3 linked regions of the Stegostoma tigrinum genome follow. Each later gene encodes a partner of the first gene's protein in a complex. Links are inferred from orthologs where the notes say so. Each region holds a gene or a part of one and is shown in the gene's direction. Other genes may lie near its edges.

Region 1 (3,750 bases):
CCTAGATCTACTGGTTTAGCAGATTTCCTCGCAATCCACGCGTAGCTCAGCCACCCATGATACCACGGGCAATCCTCTGGCTGCATGTCCCCTGGACGAACCACCAACCTCAACAGTATTCACAACTGAATACTTAGTTGGAGAGTGGGACACACTCAAGGCAATGTGCGTTATCTGCCTGTTTACTCTTCAATGTCCGGTGAGCACCTTCGTCTTCTTGTCTGTGGATGTTAACTGGATGGTTGTGTGTGTGGGTGTGTGTGTGTGTGTGTGTGTGTGGGTGGGGGTGTGTGTGTGTGTGGGTGGGGGTGTGTGGGTGGGGGTGTGTGTGTGTGGGTGGGTGGGTGTGGGTGTGGGTGGCTGGGGGTGTGTGTGTGTGTGTGGGTGGCTGGGGGTGTGTGTGTGTGTGTGTGTGTGTGTGTGTGTGTTTGTCTGTGGGGGGGGGGGAATGCAATGCAATGCAGTAGTGACGGTTGTTGCTTAAATCCTGAAACACAAGGTCCGAGCTCCTGCTGATGCTTCCTGTGCAGACGGTTAGCCAGGGCGCGGGAAGGATCCTGGAGTTCCCACACCCTCAAGGTTGAGCCTCCGTTACCCCGTCATTGCTTATCAATTCCAGGCCCTGCTATCGCTCATCATTCCACTGGTTCACCGATCTCCCCGTTGCCGATGGAGCCTTGGCCTTGGTTCTGAACCGTGCGCCCACGCGGTCTCTGGGCCTTCTCGGCTTGTCTCCGGGTCTTCACAGGCCGGCGTAAGTGCAACCCTTCGGCCATAATGACGGGACATCGGGAAGGCGTGCGTTCCGCAAGCCGAGGAACAGCGTTCGCCTGCGGTACCGGCAAACAGCAAGACCACCGCACCCTCACCACGCACAGGCCGCTCGGTGTGCGTCATGACGCCACACGCCACGTCCAAGCCCGCCGGGCAGGCAGAGCCGCAACGGCGCACGGCGTGATGGTGTCATTGGAAGCGGTGCGCCCGGACGGGGGTACGCAGGAAGCGGTGAGGTCAGAGCGCTGGGTGAGGGCGAGGCACGGGGGGGGGATGAAGCGGAGCGCATTCTTTCGGCGGGGATAGCGGCAGAGTGGTATCGTTTGACAAGATGGCGAGTGGGGAGCTTGGGGCCTGAAGGGGAGTCCGTGGCGGGTCCCCTTTCCCCGGGGGGCTTGGCGATCGGCGTAAGCTGGTGGTGCAGCCTGGGCCTACCTTCCCCGAGAAGGGCTGGCGGCCTAGCGCGGGGTCGGTGTGAGGAGGAGAGGAGGGAGAGCCGGGTGGTGGTGGGGGTGTCGAGGGGAGGCAGGCCTTGGGCCCGCCATGAAGAGACAGAACGAGCGCGACTCGAGCCCCAGCTCGGCTCCAGGCAGCGGGAGAGCGGCCAAGAGGCCCCGGGAACGGGAGAGAGAGCGGGAGGGCCGGTCCGCCAGGGAGGAAGGTGACACGGGCCGAGGAGGAGGCGGCGGCGGCAACTATCACAAGGCCGGCCTGAGCGCCAAACACCCGGGGGGTCGGAGCAGGAGCCGGAGCCGGGACAGAGCCGCGGGAGGAGGGGACAAATCCAATAGCAACAGCCGCAGGGAGGAGAGGGGGGACCACCATCACCACCACCACCACCATGAGACTGTTAGCTCTGCCAGGTTGCCCACTGCCAGGTCCAGCTCTGCCCAGAAAAACAAAGGTGACAGTAGCAGGCCTGCTGGCCTCGAGTACAAGACCCTGGTGATCAGCAACCTGGGCTCGCAGTTGACGGACGAGGCGGTGGAGGATGGTCTCTTCCATGAGTTCAAGAAATTTGGGGAGGTGAGCGTTAATGCAGCACACACCCCTGAAGGGGGCCGGCTGGCATATGTCCATTTCCGGCACCACGAGGACGCTAAGGAAGCAAGGCATGCCAAGGGCCGGCTGGTGCTCTACGATCGACCCCTCAAAATTGAGCCGGTGTACCCCAAGAGGAGGAGTTGTACTCCACCCGAGGTTAACTTTGGATCTATCCACACTGGGTATCAGTATCGGCAACGTTCTTTGTCACCGGGGGCCTGCACCCTCCGAGACCAGCGGACGAGACATACTAATTATCCCATTGAGGCAGTACCACTGGCAAGGGAGAGGGAACGGTCGTTAGACTATTACGGATTATATGACGAGCGTGGGCGAGCTTACAGCTACCCTGTGCAGGAGGATGATTTGATGCCCGAGGATGACAAGCGAGCCACAAGGAACTTGTTCATTGGCAACTTGGATCACAATGTTTCAGAGACTGATCTGAGACGTGCTTTTGAGAAGTACGGCATCATTGAGGAAGTGGTCATCAAGCGCCCGCCCAGGGGGCAAGGGGGTGCCTATGGGTTCTTAAAATTTCAGAATTTGGACATGGCACATCGAGCCAAGGTAGCCATGTCAGGCCGGGTGATTGGCAGGAACCATGTTAAAATTGGATATGGCAAAGCCAACCCAACGACTCGATTGTGGGTGGGTGGGCTGGGACCCCTGACCTCACTGGCTGCACTTGCCCGGGAGTTTGACCGGTTTGGCAGCATTCGCACCATTGACTATGTGAAAGGCGACAGCTTTGCTTACATACAGTACGAGAGTTTGGATGCTGCGCAGGCTGCCTGTGCTCAGATGCGTGGCTTTCCACTTGGTGGGCCTGACCGGCGGCTGAGAGTGGACTTTGCTAAGGTGGAAGACACACGTTACCAGCAGCCGTACCCACAGGCACCGCTTCCAGTCCCCTTCGAGCTGTTGGCAGATGGTTTTGGTCGGCACCGGAGCCTGGAGCGGGAGGCCAGGACACGTGACCGGACCCCACCACTGCCCCTATATCACGAACGGGAGAGGACCTATTTGGACGGTGACTGGAGCAGCCCGGCCAAGAACCTGGAGCGCCGCAACAACACTGACGCTGTTTCCATCCGTAACCGGGACCGCTGGCTGAATGAACGGGAGAATGACCGCAGTACTGTTGCAGCCAAGCCCTGGGAAGAAAGGCGGAAGCGCCGGAGCCTTTCCAATGAGCGTGTCCGACCTGTACTCTCGCCTTTTGAGGACCGGGTGAGGGCTAAGCCTCGAGGCTCGTTGGAGCTGAGCCCAGATAAAAGGAACCGTGATGCTCGTGGGGCTGATGGCACCACTGAAAAGGAGCAGGTCATCTCTGGCCCTTTGGAGGATCGGCGTCTGCTTGTTGAGGATAAGGTGTCTTCAGATGCCCAGGACTCTGTGCAGCTTAAAAAGAAAGACAGTGAGCGCAATCACAGAACTAGTGAGATCGAGCCTGAGCATAAAGCGAGTATTGATGCTCCAAAAACAGAGACCAAGAAGCCAGCCAATTTGCTGGAGTTTGCACAGGCACTCACACTTGCCTGGAATGGTGTCCTTGTGCTCAAGAACAGCTGCTTTCCCACAAAAATGTTCACACTTGAGGGTGACGCTGCCATTACCCATTCCCTCCTCAAGGATTCTGTAACGGGTGCACGGGTGTCACAGCTGAAGATTGCTCAGCGCCTACGTCTTGACCAGCCCAAGCTGGACGAGGTGACCCGTCGCATCAAGCAGGGCAGCCCTAATGGCTATGCTGTGTTGCTCGCTGTGCAGGCTCCCCAGGGTGCTGAGGGAGGTGATGGCGCTGTGGCTGTGGAGCCTGGTCTCCAGCAGCGGCTGTTACGGAATTTGGTGTCGTACCTGAAGCAAAAGCAGGCAGCAGGAGTGATTGGCTTACCTGTTGGTGGGGTGAAGGACAAGGACAATACGGGC
Region 2 (3,750 bases), on another chromosome or scaffold:
CCGAGCGGAGGTGTTATGCAAAGCAGTCTCCAAGCCTCCACTTGGTTTCCCCAATGTAGAGGAAGCCACAACGGGTACAGTGGATGCAGTATACCACATTGGCGGATGTGCAGGTGAGCGTCTGCTTGATGTGGAAAGTCTTCTTGGGGCCTGGAATGGGCGTGAGGGAGATGGTGTGAGGGTAGGTGTAGCACTTCCTGCGGTTGCAGGGGCAAGTGTCTGGTGTGGTGGGGTTGGAGGGGAGTGTGGAGCGGACAAGGGGGTCGTGGTCTCTCCAGAAGGCAGACAAGGGTGGGGTGGAAAAAATGTCTTTAGTGGGTGGGGTCGGATTGTAGATGGCGGAAGTGTTGGAGGATGATGTGCTGTATCCAGAGGTTGGTGGGGTGGTACGTGAGGACTAGGGGGATTGTCTTATGGCGGTTATTGCAAGGGCAAGGTGTGGGGGATGAGGTGCAGGAAATGCGGGAGGCACGGTTGAGGGCATTTTCGACCACTCCGGGAGAGAAGTTGCAGACCTTGAAGAACAAGGACATCTGGGATGTGCAGGAGTGGAATGCCTCATCCTGGGAGCAGATGCGGCGGAGGCGAAGCAATTGGGAATAGGGGATGAAATTTTTGCAGGAAGGCGGGTGGGAGGAAGTGTATTCCAGGTAGCTGTGGGAGTCAGTGGGCTTGAAATGGACATCGGTTTGTAGGTGGTTGCCTGAGATGGAGACAGAAAGGTCCAGGAAGGTAAGGGATGTGTTGGAGATGGTCCAGGTGAACTTGAGGTTGGGGTGGCAGGTGTTGGGGAAATGGATAAACTGTTCGAGCTCCTCTGGGTAGCATGAGGCAGTGTCGATACAGTCATCAATGTAACGGAGGAAAAGGTGGGGTTTTGGGCCAGTGTAGGTGCGAAAGGGGGACTGTTCCACATAACCTACAAAGAGGCAGGTGTATGGGCACCCCCTTATTCTGTAAGAAGTGGGAGGAATCGAAAGAGAAGTTGTTGAGGCTGAGGTCGAGTTCGGCTAGGCAGCTGAGGGTTTCGGTGGAGGGGGACTGGTCCGGTCTACGGGACAGGAAGATGCGGAGGGTCTTAAGGTCATCTGCATAGGGAATGCAGGTGTATAGGGACTGGACGTCCATGGTGAAAATGAGGTGTTGGGGACTGGGGAATTGGAAGCGTTGCCCTTAACAGCATCCATTCCAGCTCACAAACCCATCTGCGGACACGGCTCCGCCGACACATATACCGCCACGCCCACACATACCCGGGGGAGCTGACACATACTCGACCACGCCCACATAGGCACCCACGCCCACACACCCTGCTGCGCCGACACATACTCGACTACGCCCACACAGACAACCACACACACACACCCGACCACGCCCACACACGCTCCGCTCCGCACGAACAGACTCGGCACCGTTTACACATACGCGGTCTGCCTATAAGTGGATAAGAGGGTCTCTGATGAAGGGTCTAGGCCCGAAACGTCAGCTTTTGTGCTCCTGCGATGCTGCTTAGCCTGCTGTGTTCATCCAGCCTCACATTTTATTGTCTTGGATTCTCCAGCATCTGCAGTTCCCATTATCTCTGCCTATAAGTGGTACCACCCACAACGACTCGGCCCTGCCCCTGTTTTACCGAGACCCGCCCCTGCGCTTACCGCCACGGCCGCCCCGCTCTGCGGTGTTACGTCGTGGCGTGCACCGCTGGAAGTGATGTAGAAACTTGGTCGCGCGGACGGAAGGTCAGATCCGGTGAGGGGGTGGGGTGTGCGGGCTACCGACTATGGACAGCCGTTTGCAGGAGATCCGAGAGCGGCAGAAACGGCGGCGTGAACTGTTAGCCCAGCAGGTGAGAGCCATTGTCTTCACACCCCCGGTGACAGTATTCCCGGGAGCACTTCAGATCCAGCGCCTGGTTTAAAAGGAGCGATCAGTTTAGGTACATCTGAGGCCGGGCTTCGGTGAGGCCGGCACAGGAGGTCGTTCATTCCACGGTGTTTGCACTAAATCTCAAAAAGAGCGATTCACCTGGCTTCTTTGTTCTGTCTGTAACCCTCCACGTAACCGTCCATCTCCCTTTCGGAAATTTCGATTGAACCTACCCGTTTTTTATTTCATTATTGTCATATCTATCTAAGTACAGGTGAAAAATTTTGTTTTTCGTGTCTTACGGCAGATCACAACATTAAAAGATACAAGGGTCATAGGGTGATTGAACAGAATGAGGAATGCAAAGTTACAGCTGCAAAGAAGGTGTGCAAAAGTAAGGTTAACACTAGATTTGAAGTTTGAGTTCCATTCACCTGTGTAATAAAGACAGGGGAAAAATGCTGTTCTTGAACCTGTTGATATATATGTTTAATGTGTTGTATCTTCTGAGGTTGGAAGAGAGTATAACTGGTGTAGGAGGGGTGTTTGATGTTGGCTGCTTTTCTGCGGCATTGCGAGTAGATGGAGTCAGTGGATGGAAGGTTGGCTTGTGTGATGGCCTGACCTGTATTCACAACTTAGTGTAGTTTCTTACAGTTCTAGGCACAGCAGTTGATGTGCTAAGCCATGATGCGTTCAGATAGAATGTTTTCTGTGGTGCATTTGTAAAGGTTGGTGAAGGTCCTTAAGGACTTGCTGAATTCCCTTAGCCTTCTGAGGAAGAAGAGGTGTTTTGCCACCTTGACTGCTGCATGAATTCATGCAGTCCAAGATGGATTGTTGGTTATGTTCTCTCCTAGGAAGTTGATGCTGTTACCCACCTCCATTGATGTAGATGTGTTCTCCTTGCTTTCTGAAGTCAATGATCAGCTCTTTAGTTTTGCTGACAGTAAGGGAAAGATTATCTTTGCACCATGTCACTGATTACTGTGTTCCTTTCCTGTATTGTATCTCATTGTTTTTTGATATTCAGCCTAATATGGTGGTGGTGTCAGCAAACTTGTTGATGGACTTCCTCAGGAGGCTAAGGGAATTTGGCAAGTCCTTAAGGACCCTCACCAACCTTTACAAATGCACCCAGGGAGTGGTGAGCCTGTGGAATTCACTACCATAAAGTGTTTGAGGCCAAAACATTGTATTTTCTAGAAGGAGGTAGAAATAGCGCTTGTAGCTGAAGGAATCGAGGAAAATGGGGGGAAAGATGGGATTATGGTAATGAACTTGATGACCAGCCGTAATCACGTTGAATGACGAAACATGCTTGAGGGGTTGAATGACTTCCCTTATGCACCTTCTGTGTTTTTGTGCAACTCCTATCTCTACAGATGCTGCCAAACCTGCTCAATTCCTCTGTACTTTTTTCAATTTGAATCAATCTATCTGCTGCTTTTGATAAGTCATCCAGTTGAGTGGTGCCTGCTGTCATTTGGTTTCATTCTTAATCGCACCTAAGGAACCACTCGAATGGTTTCTCTTCCTGCTCCAATCATTACTGCTGGTGTTCCTTAATGATCCTTCTTTGTTCCCCTTTGTACTGGCTGCTGCCTCTTGATGATATAATGTGAAAGCACATAAATGTTTCGCTTCCGCTCCTATACTCAGCTCTATCTTCCATCATCTCTTATGACTATCTACTGTGAGCTGCTCCTTCAACATCCAGTCCTGGATAAACAGGAAATTCCTCCAGTGAAGTATGTGGGATACTTAAACTAAGGTCTTCTGTCCTGACTACAAACTCCGTTCCCAATCCAAACACACCATTGCTCTCGCTGATAACTGTTTTTGTCCTTGGTTTGTTTAAACCCATGATGAACTTTTTAATTG
Region 3 (3,750 bases), on another chromosome or scaffold:
AAAAGTCTCTTCCTTTAACAGCAGTCAATGTATTAAGACAAACTGAGGGAGTTAAAAGGTACAGGAATGGGCAGGGTGGGGGGGGTGGGTGGGAAGTGTTGAAGTTACAATCAAACAAGCCATGAATGATACAGCACTTGAAGAGTTAAACTGCCCATCAACTCTTAATTCATAGATAATGGGAACGTTAGCTTTTGTGCTCCGAAGATGCTGCTTGGCCTGTTGTGTTCATCCAGCTCTACACTTTGTATACAATGAAAATGTGGTATTGACACAAGGGAGCTGATACTATATTAAACAGAAAGATCCCTGAGAATCCTGGTATATGCCAACTTCAATGTGGGACAAAGGATATTGCTTTCTTTCTTCAATCACAGCATCATTGGTGGGCGTGCAGCGTACCTACTGAACACGGACAGCTGTGGTTCAAAAACATGGCAACTCACCACCTGCAAGTTCCTACTATCTCTGAAACGACCACCTTCACAAGGATGGGCGCGAGAGGCCATTCGACCCATCGTGCCTGAACGAGCGTTATTCTGAGGAAGGGTCACTGGACCCGAAACGTTAACTCTGATTTTTTTTTTCTTCACAGATACTGCCAGACCTGTTGAGCTTTCCTAGCAACTTCTGTTTTTGTTCCGTCATTACTTACTGCCAGTTTCCTGTCCTACTACTCCAAATCCTCGCACAGTACATTACTTCAATCCATATAATCAGCCAATGCCTTCCAAAGGATCCCAAAAGAAGAGATAAATTCCCTGTTTGTAGGTTGTAGCCTGGAACATGAGGGGAGTTCGATTATTACAGTTTGCTAACTGTCGCTCATTCCCGATGACACTTTCCTTTCGGGTTTTTAAAACCATGACTGAGATACACGATGTAAACACCACTACACAACTCGCTCCGACCGCTCCCCTCCGTCCCAACCGTCCACATCCTACTCACCGGGCATGCGCCATGGGCAGTCGGAAGTATCTGGCAAGGAAGTGACGCATGAGGAGACATGGCGGACACAGCGGCAGAGCTGTTGTTTCTAGATACGTTCAAACACTCAAACTCGGAGGTAAATCCCTGCGGCCGCCTTTTTAGTCATTCATCGGGACCGGCTTCTCTTGTTGCAGCTGCTTTTGTAAATAGCGCTCGGGGTGTTGCAGCCGGAACTGGGCCTTTAATCGCGGAGACGCTGGGATCTGGCTGCGGTGGTATAGCGACCCAGGATTTGTGCCCTTTCCTCTGTTGGTGGCCCGACATAGCCTTCAAATTGCGTGGTACACACGATAGTTTCGACTTGCTAAAGTCTCCCCTACCTCCTTGTCCTCCAGTGTTGCATGTTTGTTTTGTTTCTGTTCAAGTGATAGTTCCGCCCCCTTTCCCCCACGTTGAGCCCAATTAAAGAGTTGATCTGAAAATCGGGACTAGATTTTAAAGTAGTTTCACTTGATTTGAAGGAATTGTTAGCGATTTCTGTGCAGCGCTTTCGCGGGATAACTTGATGAACGAGAATGAGATGCGTTGATTGCAAACAGTTTTTGAAACGAGAGACAGCATAAAACATTGTAAGCTATTTTAGCTTTAACTCCTTGTGTTATACACCAATTTCATTTTGCCAACTTATGTAGGGCAAATCTGAAACATTGTAGGAGATCACGTTTTACAAACCAAGAATGCTAGTGTTCACAATTTTCTCAGATGTTATGCAGCTGAATCGGCAGTAGTTGGCTAACACAGGTCCTCAAATTATAATAAGGGAAAATTAGATTATAGATTTGTACTTGTCTGCATGAAATATCTTTAGTTAGTAGATTCTGCTGCTGTTATTGGATTTAAATGTTCACGTTTGTACACAGCATGGTAATTTTTTTGTTAAAAGCTTCAGTTTCAGTAGAGAACTGAAGACAGGGAAAGTCAGAGTGAATTTGACCATTATCTTAGTTCCTGATGATAGTTGCTTTAAATATTTCGGCGTCAATTTTGATAATCAGGTTTATGTTTCAGAGGATAGTTAAGAAACTGCCATTATTGAGTGGAGCTGGAGTCACAACCAGACTGGGCAAAGCTAGCAGATTTCTTTCCCACAGCACATTGATGGACCAGATGGGATTTTGATGAAAATACACTGGTTTAATGATGTTCTTGACTGAGATGATATCTTTTTAATGTGGATCTACAAATGAATTGAATTGAAGTTGCATATGATTTCATCTCATACCTTCAAAATATTTGGACCTTAGTGTATTGCTGGGACAATTGTTGATAAAAGTATTTATTCTGTGCAGCGCTAGTAGTGTAACTGAATTGTAATATTAAAAAAATTCAAACAGCATGACTTAAACTGAATTGTTCGATTTGCAGGAAAAATAGATTTACTTTTCCTGCTAAACACAAAAGAATAAAATTATTAGTTGTAAAGTTAATTGGCAGGACATAGTATTTTGAAACACAGCAACCTAGTTATAGTTTGCCAAATGTTTCTGCTTTTTCTATGGTCTCATATTGTTGTCTGAAATTACTTTCTGCTGAAGATACTCTTTCAAGTTGAAATATGGGTGATGGTAATGCTTCATAAATCTGGTTTTCTTTTTGTGGCATTTCTTTCTGTGACCTGTACAAAGTACCAGGCTGTTATTAAGGAGGGACATTAAAATTAAGTTTGATTCTGACAGGGGTTTGGAAATTGATTGCAAATCGGAGCTGAATCTTGATATGTCTTGGAGTTGTGTCTGTGATGATCTTTAACTAATATAACCAGTTTTTAGACTTTAGACTTTGGACCTTATCAATGCCATAACTTGAACTGTACAATACTGTACTGTTTTAAATCTAAGGTAAACTTTGACCATTTTCCTAATAAGTAAATTTAAATTCAAGAATCTACAACCTTGATGTTATAGAGTCATACAGCATAGAAAGAGGCCCTTCAGCTTGCCATGTCTATGCCAATCAACAAATATCAAGTTATCCAAACCCATTTACCCTGAATTGGTCTATAGCCTACTATGTTGAGGTATTTTAAGTGCTCATCCAGATGCTTCTTAGATGTTGCGCACCTACCCATCGCAGCCATCCACTCAGGTAGTACATTCCATATTTCTACCACCCTGTGGGTGAAAACATTTTTTCCCCAGATCCCCTCTAAACCACTTGCTCCTCATCTTAAACTTGTGCTATCTGGTCTTAGACATGTCTGGCGTGGAGGAATGATTCTCACAATCTGCCCTATCTATGCCTCTCATAATCTTGTATACTTCAAATCAGATCCCGCGCCCAGCACCCCCCCCCCCCCCCCCCCCCCCCCCACAGCTTCCTCTGCTTCAAGAAAATAAACCCAGCCTATTCAGTCTCTCCTCATAAATGAGACATTTCATCCTAGGCAACATCTGGTGAATCTCCAATACAGTCATGCCGTTCTAATAGTGTGGCAACCAGAACTGCACACAATATTTCATCTGTGGCCTAAACAATGTTTTATAAAGTTGTAACAAGACTTCTTGCTCCTATATTCTACACCCCACTTAATCAAGACAAGCATCCCATATGCCTTCTTCAGCACCTTTTTTACCTGTGCTGACATTTTCAGGAATCTGTAGGCTTATTCATCAAGGTCCCTTTGTTCATTAGTCCTCTGTAGGGACCTACTGTTCATTGTACTTATTCTTCCCTTATTAGACTTCCCAAAATGCATCACTTCTCACTTGTCAAGATTAAATTCCATTTGCCATCGCTGTACCCAATTTACCACATGATCAA

Evidence for each region.
Region 2: rbm15b (region 1) and mettl14 share a complex: the UniProt entries of both Homo sapiens proteins name them as parts of the WMM complex. The link is inferred for Stegostoma tigrinum from reciprocal best matches to the Homo sapiens genes RBM15B and METTL14.
Region 3: rbm15b (region 1) and virma share a complex: the UniProt entries of both Homo sapiens proteins name them as parts of the WMM complex. The link is inferred for Stegostoma tigrinum from reciprocal best matches to the Homo sapiens genes RBM15B and VIRMA.

What each region holds. Positions count from the first base shown.
Region 1 is NC_081364.1:63,277,075-63,280,824, reverse strand, and holds the start of rbm15b (putative RNA-binding protein 15B), read left to right. Parts: upstream 1-1,023; 5' UTR 1,024-1,317; coding exon 1,318-3,750. UniProt on the Homo sapiens protein: RNA-binding protein that acts as a key regulator of N6-methyladenosine (m6A) methylation of RNAs, thereby regulating different processes, such as alternative splicing of mRNAs and X chromosome inactivation mediated by Xist RNA.
Region 2 is NC_081354.1:67,562,123-67,565,872, forward strand, and holds the start of mettl14 (N6-adenosine-methyltransferase non-catalytic subunit), read left to right. Parts: upstream 1-1,432; 5' UTR 1,433-1,780; coding exon 1,781-1,846; intron 1,847-3,750. UniProt on the Homo sapiens protein: The METTL3-METTL14 heterodimer forms a N6-methyltransferase complex that methylates adenosine residues at the N(6) position of some mRNAs and regulates the circadian clock, differentiation of embryonic stem cells and cortical neurogenesis.
Region 3 is NC_081358.1:91,435,623-91,439,372, reverse strand, and holds the start of virma (protein virilizer homolog), read left to right. Parts: upstream 1-955; 5' UTR 956-1,006; coding exon 1,007-1,066; intron 1,067-3,750. UniProt on the Homo sapiens protein: Associated component of the WMM complex, a complex that mediates N6-methyladenosine (m6A) methylation of RNAs, a modification that plays a role in the efficiency of mRNA splicing and RNA processing.